Regions from separate parts of the Mus musculus genome. Here region 2 is reported to be linked to region 1. The links are microRNA targets in miRTarBase. Many come from high-throughput screens and were not tested one by one. Region 1 holds a microRNA gene; the other region holds the end of a gene's coding sequence.

Region 1 (4,393 bases):
TGTTAAGTACTAGTGAACTCCTATAGTACTTAGGCCATTTAATTTTACCTAATATGCTTGAGGCCGTTAGGTAGGCATTCATTCCAAATCCCAGACTTGCCCATGAGAATCGATGTGGACATGAAAGATAGAGCTAGAGTTACAAATGAATGATGGAAGTGGTTAGAAGTAGTTGTAGGTAAAAATATTTTTCAAACTAGCTACAGTGGAGGTGCAGGGATTATTAATTGGCCTAACTCTAATGCAAAGACAGATAAGGGGAAAATTAATTCATAGAGCTGTACCAAATGTATATGAAACAGGCTATGACCATACCCCAAAAACTGATGATTAGAAGTTGGGAATGGCTACTAAGGGTGGTTGAGATTTAAGTAGGGTATATTGGATGAAAGAGAGTATTCACTACTTTGTTAACACTTCTACGCATATCAGCTCATTCTGCTCATGGTGTTTTAGACTATGCTAAGTCAGTGACTAGAATACAGGTGTGCCAATATTTATATATGTATACAACATTCTTAGAAGGGCACAGAAGAAACATTGATCACTCTCTGAGAGGAGAGAACCTGGTAGGAGTAAGAAGAACACTTAGACAGTTTTGTACCTTTTGATATTGCATTATATACTGCAGCCTGCTTCCAACAAGAAAACTCTCTCTCTCTCTCTCTCTCTCTCTCTCTCTCTCTCTCTCTCTCTCTCTCTCTCACACACACACACACACACACACACACCTTCATTTTTATCCAGAACATTTCCATATGTTGAACTATAATCACAAAGTGTCCCTGATCTTGTCCACAAACCCTTTCCCTGACCATTTAAAACCACATTCTATCCTTACTGACCACTGGCATAGGATCCAACTGGCAGAATGAAGTGGAGTTAGCAAATGTAGCTTCCATATGGCAAAGGGAAGCATACCGGATGAAGTGAGATCCTAAAGTCAACAGTACTTCTAGTGTTAGTATTTCTTCATACTGTTAAGTAGAAGAGCAAGAGACCTTCTTCACTGGTTTGAAGGTGGAGGATAAAAACCTAGAAACAAAGATTTGTTGAGAGAACCTTAAGAAAGGGTCAGGGAGAGGTCATGCAGCAGCTTAGTAAAGTTTAGCTGGGTTAAGATAGGGTTGCAAGTGAATGTGTTGCCCTCGAGCTGGTCAGAAAGCCCTCTGTCAGCTATCAGATCCCATAACACACATACACATGGCCATGTATATAAGCAAATCTTCAAATAAGTCTTTTGGGTTCTGCTGGGTTTTATCAGGCTTATTCAAAAAAAGTTGAATGCCTGTTGTAAGGAGGGTACAGCACAGAGCAGTGGCTGTGGGCATTCACAAAGAGAGAAGGTTTCTGTGAAAATCAATGGTTCTTGGATGTGGGTTTTGTGATGGACTAGGGGCCAAGTGTTGTGGATTCTAACAGAGCCGATATAGTGCTTGGTTCCTAGTAGGTGCTCAGTAAGTGTTTGTGACATAATTCGTTTATTGAGCACCTCCTATCAATCAAGCACTGTGCTAGGCTCTGGGGCCACATAGCTAAGTTAGACAAGATGCTCCCTTTTGAGGCTCTTATTGCTAGTAGTGGCTATAGTAGAGTGATTAGTTATAACAACAATACTGATAGGAATAAGAGGGTATGCCCAGGAAACAGAAGCAAATTATGCTGTGGGAAGAGGCAGTGAATATGCTCCATCTATTCCAAAACCTTAGGAAGGAAAGGAGAGAAGGGGGCAGCAAATAGAGAGGTAAGGCTGAGAAGCTTGACCTTAAATATGAGAGACTTGAGCATCATGTTCCCATTAGAGAGGTCAGGGTGAAGATTCAAGGGTTAAGGCAGTGAGCAATGGAAAGTCATGTTCGAGGCTATAAAGAGGATGAGGGTGGAAACTGGCCAGGATCCCCAAAAGAACTCTTCTGAAGCATCAGAGCGTGGACTTGCAGGTGATACCAGGAGATGATGGAGAAAGTTAAGAGTAAGCAAAGGGCAGTGATTGCAACAATGAATTGCAGGTCCCAGGCCAGTTTGAGAAGGTAATTATGCTGAATGAGTCTGACAAATGAGAAGAAACCAACAGTTCTAAAATACAAGTGATGGAAACAAAGAAAAGGCCTTACTGGGGCAGAAGCAGCCAGAAAGTAGGGTGTACAAATAGAGGATGGCATAGGTGTGGTAGTTTGGAATGACAAAAGATTCTGAGTATGACCAAGGATGTGAATAAGTGGTGTAGGAAGAGGTTATGATAGTTGAACCAAGGAGTTAGGCATTTCTGGTTATTTCCCATGGATGTTTAAATCCATCTGATTATACAAAGACTTGCACCAGGAGTCCAGGATCATTTGAGGGGGATTAATGTTTGGGAGAAAGTAAGCAGATACCCGTGACAAAACTTGCTGGTTGGAGTCTATAAATATCCTAGCTGCCCATTACCTGAAACAGGAAGTGAGCACCTGTGAGCTTGGCTTCTCCTCCTCACTGTATTCTTACAGGAATGGGACAGAAGACTCCAGCTACAATGGGAATCAACCAGTGTCTATGTTGTACAGCCTGTTCCAGCAGTCCCAGTTGCCTAAAGGCCTAGCTATCAGAATAAGGTAATGCATTGTCTGTGGCTAGTCAGTAACATGCAACTCTGCAGAAGCACTGAGAAGCTTAGGAGTGAAGAAAAACTGAATCATACAAAGGAATGGCTGTAGTATATTCTAGGCTAATTCCTAGAGAGTGTGGTGCATGCTGATCGGGCCATGTCTTTCCTTTATCTATACAAGAATAGTAGTGATAATGACATGTGAAACAGTTTGTTTGGGCAATGTTGTGAGAGGAATCACAGGCAGGGAGGGCACGTTTTCCTTGTGTCCAAAAGAGTTTTTGAGGTACAATTTTGATTAACAATTGGTGGGGGTGGTATTTTTGAGAAAGAGTAGTGGCTGACATTCTCATCTTTGGAGAAACCTTTGAGGAAAAATTACAGAAAACATGGAGTAGCTTCAAGAAACTCTTAAGATGTTTTCTTTCACAGTAACATTATCCGGAGCCACAACAGACAATAGCTATAGTATTGACAGTAGCTATTATATATATAGTCTGATCCCATGGAAGGCTCTGTTTAAACACATTTATTTGCATGAATTCTTTCAGTACTTAGAAACAGCATTGTAAAGTCTAAGTATCTATATTTAATCCATTTACCATTGAGTAATGAAATACATGAGAAAAGATGCTTTATAAACTAAAGACGACTTTAGCTCAAGGTCCCTTGACTTTGCAACCACGGTCTCAAGGCTGTACATAGAATCATGTGACAAGGGGTAAGGAGCATGTGTAAGACTATGTAGCTTCCCTCTTTCCTTAATATACCAGAATTCAACTAGGAGAGCCCCACCATAATGGCCTTATTTAAAATTAGTCACTTCTTATAGGCCTTGCGTCTAAACAGCATCATTGAATTAGTTTTATATCTTCTTAATATATTATGAGGGAAATAAATGTCAACATATAAAGTTGTGAAGTACCCTCAGATCATATACAAATCATTATTATAATAATTGTTGGTGCTCAGTGGTAAAATGCTCAATTAACATGTGTAAAGCCATAGGCTCCATTTTTAGTACCATTAAGAAAACACTTTAGTACTAAGTAAACACTCACAAAGCAAAATCATACTAGAACTCAAATCTTTGTAACCCATTCTGATGAAGATACAGATATAAAGAGTGTCAAATATCTATTTTTTTTATCTACGTAGACTATAAACTATAGATTGTATACTTTTGAAGTTTGTTCTGGATCCTCAAAGCACTTGCTGCGTTCTTCCTGGGAGTTGGTTCCTGTGTATATGAAATAGACTGCTGTGTGTCTAGCTTTTTGGTGATTCTGACATGCTGTGAAAATTACATGTTGCTGTGAAGGAAATCTGGCAGGGGAGAAGCCTTCAAAAAGGCATATGATTAGCTAGAATATGCTTGGAAAATCGATTGTCTTTGGAAGATGAGTCAAGGAGCTTCTAAAATGTTTTCCTGGCCTGGAGAGATAGCTCATGGAGCACTGAAATGCAACTAGGGCCTTGGCATTCCAGATAAGCTATCCGCCATTGCAATCTAAATACCTTGAGTAACATTTTGTTGAAACCAGTTAGCTCATTAACTTGAACACCATGGGTAGTTTTAAAAAGTCTTGAACTTGTGATCCTCCAGCCTTAGTCTCACTAGTAGCTGGAATTTCAGGCCAGCTGGGTATTTATTTTAAAAGAAATATCCCATTTCAATTACATCCTATAAGTGCTTATATTAGTTCATTTACTATGAACTGAGGAAATTATGTATATGTATGGCTATACAAAAGAGTTATTTTTCCTTTGTGGTTCATTGCAATTTCATTTTTAATATTGGAATTCAGC
Region 2 (4,393 bases), not on the chromosome of region 1:
TCAACACAGGTATATTCTTCAATACTTTCTTGACTTTTTTGTTTGTCTTGTCTTGTTTTGTTTTTGAGACAGGGTTTCAGTGTATCCCTGGCCGTCCTGGAACTCACCCTGTAGACCAGAGAGGTCTCAAATTCACAGAGATCGACTCTGCCTTCCAAGTGCTGGCTGGGATTAAAGGCGTGTACCACCGCCTCCTGGAAACATCATTTTATTTATATTTGTGTGTTTATGTTCACACGTCCAATGGCACAGATATGAAGGTCAGAGGACCAGGAGTTGATTCTGCCCTCTTCAAACTCAAGTTGTCTGTCCACCTTGGCAGCAGAACCTGTTACTTTTTTTCTCTTTTTGGCCAGCACCACATTTAATCAATTTATGTGTTTTTCTTGCATGTGTGTGCCTGGTGCCCTTGGAGGTCAGAAGAGGGTGTTGGGCCGGGCGTGGTGGCACACACCTTTAATCCCAGCACTTGGGAGGCAGAGGCAGGCGGATTTCTGAGTTCGAGGCCTACCTCTACCTCCCAAGTGCTGGGATTTTTTTGGTCTACAAAGTGAGTTCCAGGACAGCCAGGGCTACAGAGAAACCCTGTCTCAAAAGAAGAGTGTTGGATCCCCTGGAACTGGACTTATAGAAGGTTGTAAGCTGCCATGTGGGTGCTGGGAATAGAACCTGGGTCCTCTACAAAAACACGAGTGCTCTGAACCACTGCCCCATCTCTCTAGCTCCCCTTTTTTTTTTTTTTTTTTTTTTGGACAAGAGTCTCTTGCTGAATCTAGAAGTTGCTGCTTTGGCAAGACTGGCAGGCCAGTGAGTCAGTTATAGGTACCTGCTGCCACACCAAGGACCTGAACACAGGTCCTTGTATAGTAGGCACTTAGCCCAGTGGGCCATCTCCCAAATCTACTTTGGTTTTGAAGGTAGGGTCTTCCTACAAAGCCCAGGCTGACTTAGAACTAGAAGGAATCCTCCTGCCTCTGCTTTCTAAATGCTGTGGTACATGACAGGCATGCATGTTTAGAATTTTTAAGTTTTTGGTGTGGTGGTGGTTTGAATGAGAAATGTCCCTAGAGGCTCAGGTGTTTGGACACATGGCCCCTGGCTGGTGGCACTGCTTGGGGAGGTTACAGGCCCTTGAGGAGGCAGAGCCTTATGGGGAGAAGTTTATCACTAAGGAAAGGACTCAAGGCTTCTCAACCTGCCCCCTCCCTCCTGTTCTCTGTGCTTCCTGTGAGCGGCTGAAGATGTGATCTCTTCACATCTTCTTCTGAAGATGTGTACTCTTCCTGCCATGCCTCCCCTTCCACGGCGGAGTCTTCTAGAACCTTAAACCAAAATAAACCCTTTCCTTCCCCCGGTGGCTTCTGGTCACGGTGTCATCACAGCAACAAGCCACACATACAGATGTGGCCCACGTGATTCTTCTTTGGCTGCCTCCTCTTCTGCTACGTGCCGCGCATCCCTGTCCAATCCACCTGCATGAAGCTTTCCTTGTTTTTCTATAAAATAGAAGAGGTGGGGTTGGGGGGGCCTTGGAGGGGTAGCATGTTTTTAATCCCAGCACTTGGGAGGCAGAGGTAGCCAGATCCCTGAGTTCAAAGCCAGCCTGGTCTAAGAGCAGATTCCAGGGCAGCCAGAGCTTCACCCAGTCTCAAAAAAAAAAAAAAAAGGTACATTTCCCTCACTCCCACACAACTCACACACTTCAGACACCAGATGTGTGTGGAGGTTTTCCCACACATACATCAAGAAATTCCCTTGGCCAATAAAGATGGGTGTCCTATAATTTAACCCGATCCTGACACTATCTGGAGTTAGCCTCAGATCCTACAGATAATGAGCTTGGGTCTACAGGATGCACCCAACTTCTGCTGCTTCGGGGCCGGTCTTGAGTTTCAGGTAATAAACCGTCTATCTGGCCAGTGGACTTAGTTAACTTGCTAGGATGATTCCTATAACTCAAACACTCAGATACCTTTATCAACTTACTATGCACACTCACTAACTTACGATGGTCTCACTTATATTTTAAAGATACTGTGCCTTGCCTGCAGGAATGTCTGTGTATCACATGTGTGTCTGATGCTAGTGGAAGCCAGAAGAGGGTCTCAGGTGCTTAGAACTCGAGAACTTGAGTTACAGATGGTTTGGGATTTGCCGTGTGGGTGCTGGGAAGTGAATCCTGGTTCTCTAGGTGAATAGTCAGTGCTGTTAATGAAGACAGCTCTCCAACACTGACGTACACTGGGGCATGCGTGTGTGTGTGTGTGTGTGTGTGTGTTGATGGTAATAAAAACTACAGCCTCAAGCATGCAAGGCACATACTTTACCACCAGGCCACACTCCAGCTCTTTAACAGTGGCCTCTAGGCAAGCACCGCGCTGATGAGCCATACCCACAGCCCTTTGCTGCGAATTCTAGGTAAGAGCTTCATTGCTGAGTCAGGCAGGGCCTCGGGCATCCCAGGCGGGCCTCAGTCTCCTCACATGTTGGTGGGATTACAGGTCTGCACCTCCATTGCTCGTCAGTACATTTTAAATTTTATTGATTATTATTATTATTACCACCTTGGTGTCTTAAGACGGCAGGAATTTATTTGCTCACAATTCTGGAGGTCAGAGTTCTGACATCACTAATCTCACAGAAACCAGGTTGACAGCAGGGCCCCATGACTTCTGCAGCTCTCAGAGGGGGGGTGGCAGTGGGGAGAAGCTTTCCTGGAGTAGCCCAGCATCTCCCGTCTCTCTTGTTCCCATCCGTTCGTTCTCCTTGTCTCCCGCATGGCGTGGGTGCTCCTGGAGTCACAGACACAGTCCCCGGGGCACTGTCCCTCATTTTATCATCTTCAATGATGGCTGAACGAGCTGGGTGGTGGGGGCACACACCTTTAATCCCTGATGTCTGAGTTCGAGGCCAGCCAGGTCTACACAGCAAGTTCCAGGACAGCCAGGGCTACACCGAGGAGCCCTGTCTTGAAAAACCAAAACAACAAAAATAATAATAATAGCTGCACAAACACTTTTGCCAAATACGGTCACAGAGATTAGGGCAGTGATATGTTTTCAAGGCACATAGGTGTTCCTAAACACCTACTATGTTTCAGTGCCACAGTGTCCTCATGGTCTTGGCCTCAAGTACTTTTTCCACCTCATTCTGCTGTATAGCTGGAGGCGTAAGCTCATGATGGTCCCTGTACCTCTGCCACCCTCCTAACTACATGAGCTGCAGAAGAATCCAGAATAAGCTCCCATCTCAGGTCCAGACATGCTGTCATTTTTGTAACGATCACTTGACCAAGTTAAGTGTCACAGTCACAGATAGGATCAGGATGAAGACACCTTTGGGGACGGTGCCTTTATTCTACCTGCCCCAAAGAGATTCAGGCGAGAGGGTTGTAGTTGTAGTACTGTCTGGGTGTGGGTTTTGTTTGCTGGGGAGCGCCTCGTTGAGGTAACATCTGGACAGACCCGAAGGAGGTGAATTGAGGAGGAGGAAGTAAGACATTGCAGGAGGCACGTCTCCTTTCCTGCCCTGCCCTCCATGCTGACCCAGATGCCTCCAGAATCTTGCTTAGCAGAGGAGTGGGTCAAAAGGTTCGGAAGTGACTGGGGTTTGAGAACTCCAGTTTTCATGGGTCCCCTATTGCCCATGGCTCCTCAAAAGGCTGGTTGGCCTGTGGGGAGAAATGGGAGGCTGTGTCAAAGGGGCATCAGAGACCACCGCCCCTTCCACCTGCATCTGCATAGCATAGGTGGTTACCTGGGCTGTGGGCTGGGCTTGCTGGTGCAGTGTCCGTCTTCGATGCCACTGGCGCAGGGAGGCCCGGGCCTCGGAGCTGAGCCCCTGGGGTGCACGGCCAGTGTCTGGCTGGTAGTGAGCAATGTGGTAGAGAGCCCCAAACCACGTGGTCAGATAATACCCAGCTGGGGGAGAGAAAATGAGGTCATCATAGCCCTACTGGGCTTCTCTGAGTGCCCACTCTTTTTTTTTTTTTTTTTTTTTTTGGTTTTTCGAGACAGGGTTTCTCTGTATAGCCCTGGCTGTCCTGGAGCTCACTTTGTAGACCAGGCTGGCCTCGAACTCAGAAATCCGCCTGCCTCTGCCTCCCGAGTGCTGGGATTAAAGGCGTGCGCCACCACGCCCGGCGAGTGCCCACTCTTTTTGAGGCACATGAAGCTGGGGCTCATCAAAGGCACCTGCCTTCTTCTCAGTGTCTGGGCATCTCAGAAGAGGGAGCTCACCTTCTCCTCGCAACTCCCCTGGATCCAAGAGCTCCATAAGAAACTCCACATCCAGCTGTGTTTCCCCAATATGTGGACTCCAGATCAGCTCCTCGGTCAGGGCAGGTAAAAAGGCGTCAGCCCCCAGGGGCTCTAAGGAAGCCAGAGGACGGGTC

Evidence for each region. The annotated mature microRNA mmu-miR-325-3p reads UUUAUUGAGCACCUCCUAUCAA and lies in region 1 at 1,481-1,502, shown strand. An mRNA with a match to its seed (bases 2 to 7 or 8) in the 3' UTR can be bound and repressed. Matches are read on the target gene's strand: a 7mer-m8 pairs with bases 2 to 8, a 7mer-A1 pairs with bases 2 to 7 and ends in A, and an 8mer does both.
Region 2: miRTarBase lists Rinl as a target of mmu-miR-325-3p. Seed matches in the 3' UTR shown: 8mer at 2,538-2,545.

What each region holds. Positions count from the first base shown.
Region 1 is chrX:105,376,214-105,380,606 of GRCm38, reverse strand. It overlaps Mir325 (microRNA 325), which reads left to right and starts at 1,428; the gene lies at 1,428-1,525. All of the region lies in intron 4 of 5330434G04Rik (RIKEN cDNA 5330434G04 gene), which reads left to right.
Region 2 is chr7:28,797,087-28,801,479 of GRCm38, reverse strand. Rinl (Ras and Rab interactor-like) reads right to left here. Exons shown (of 12, transcript NM_177158.5): 10 at 4,239-4,370; 11 at 3,757-3,920; 12 at 2,515-3,670. The coding sequence ends at 3,626. Among named protein-coding and RNA genes, the nearest start is that of n-TKctt24, 5.2 kb to the right of the region's middle.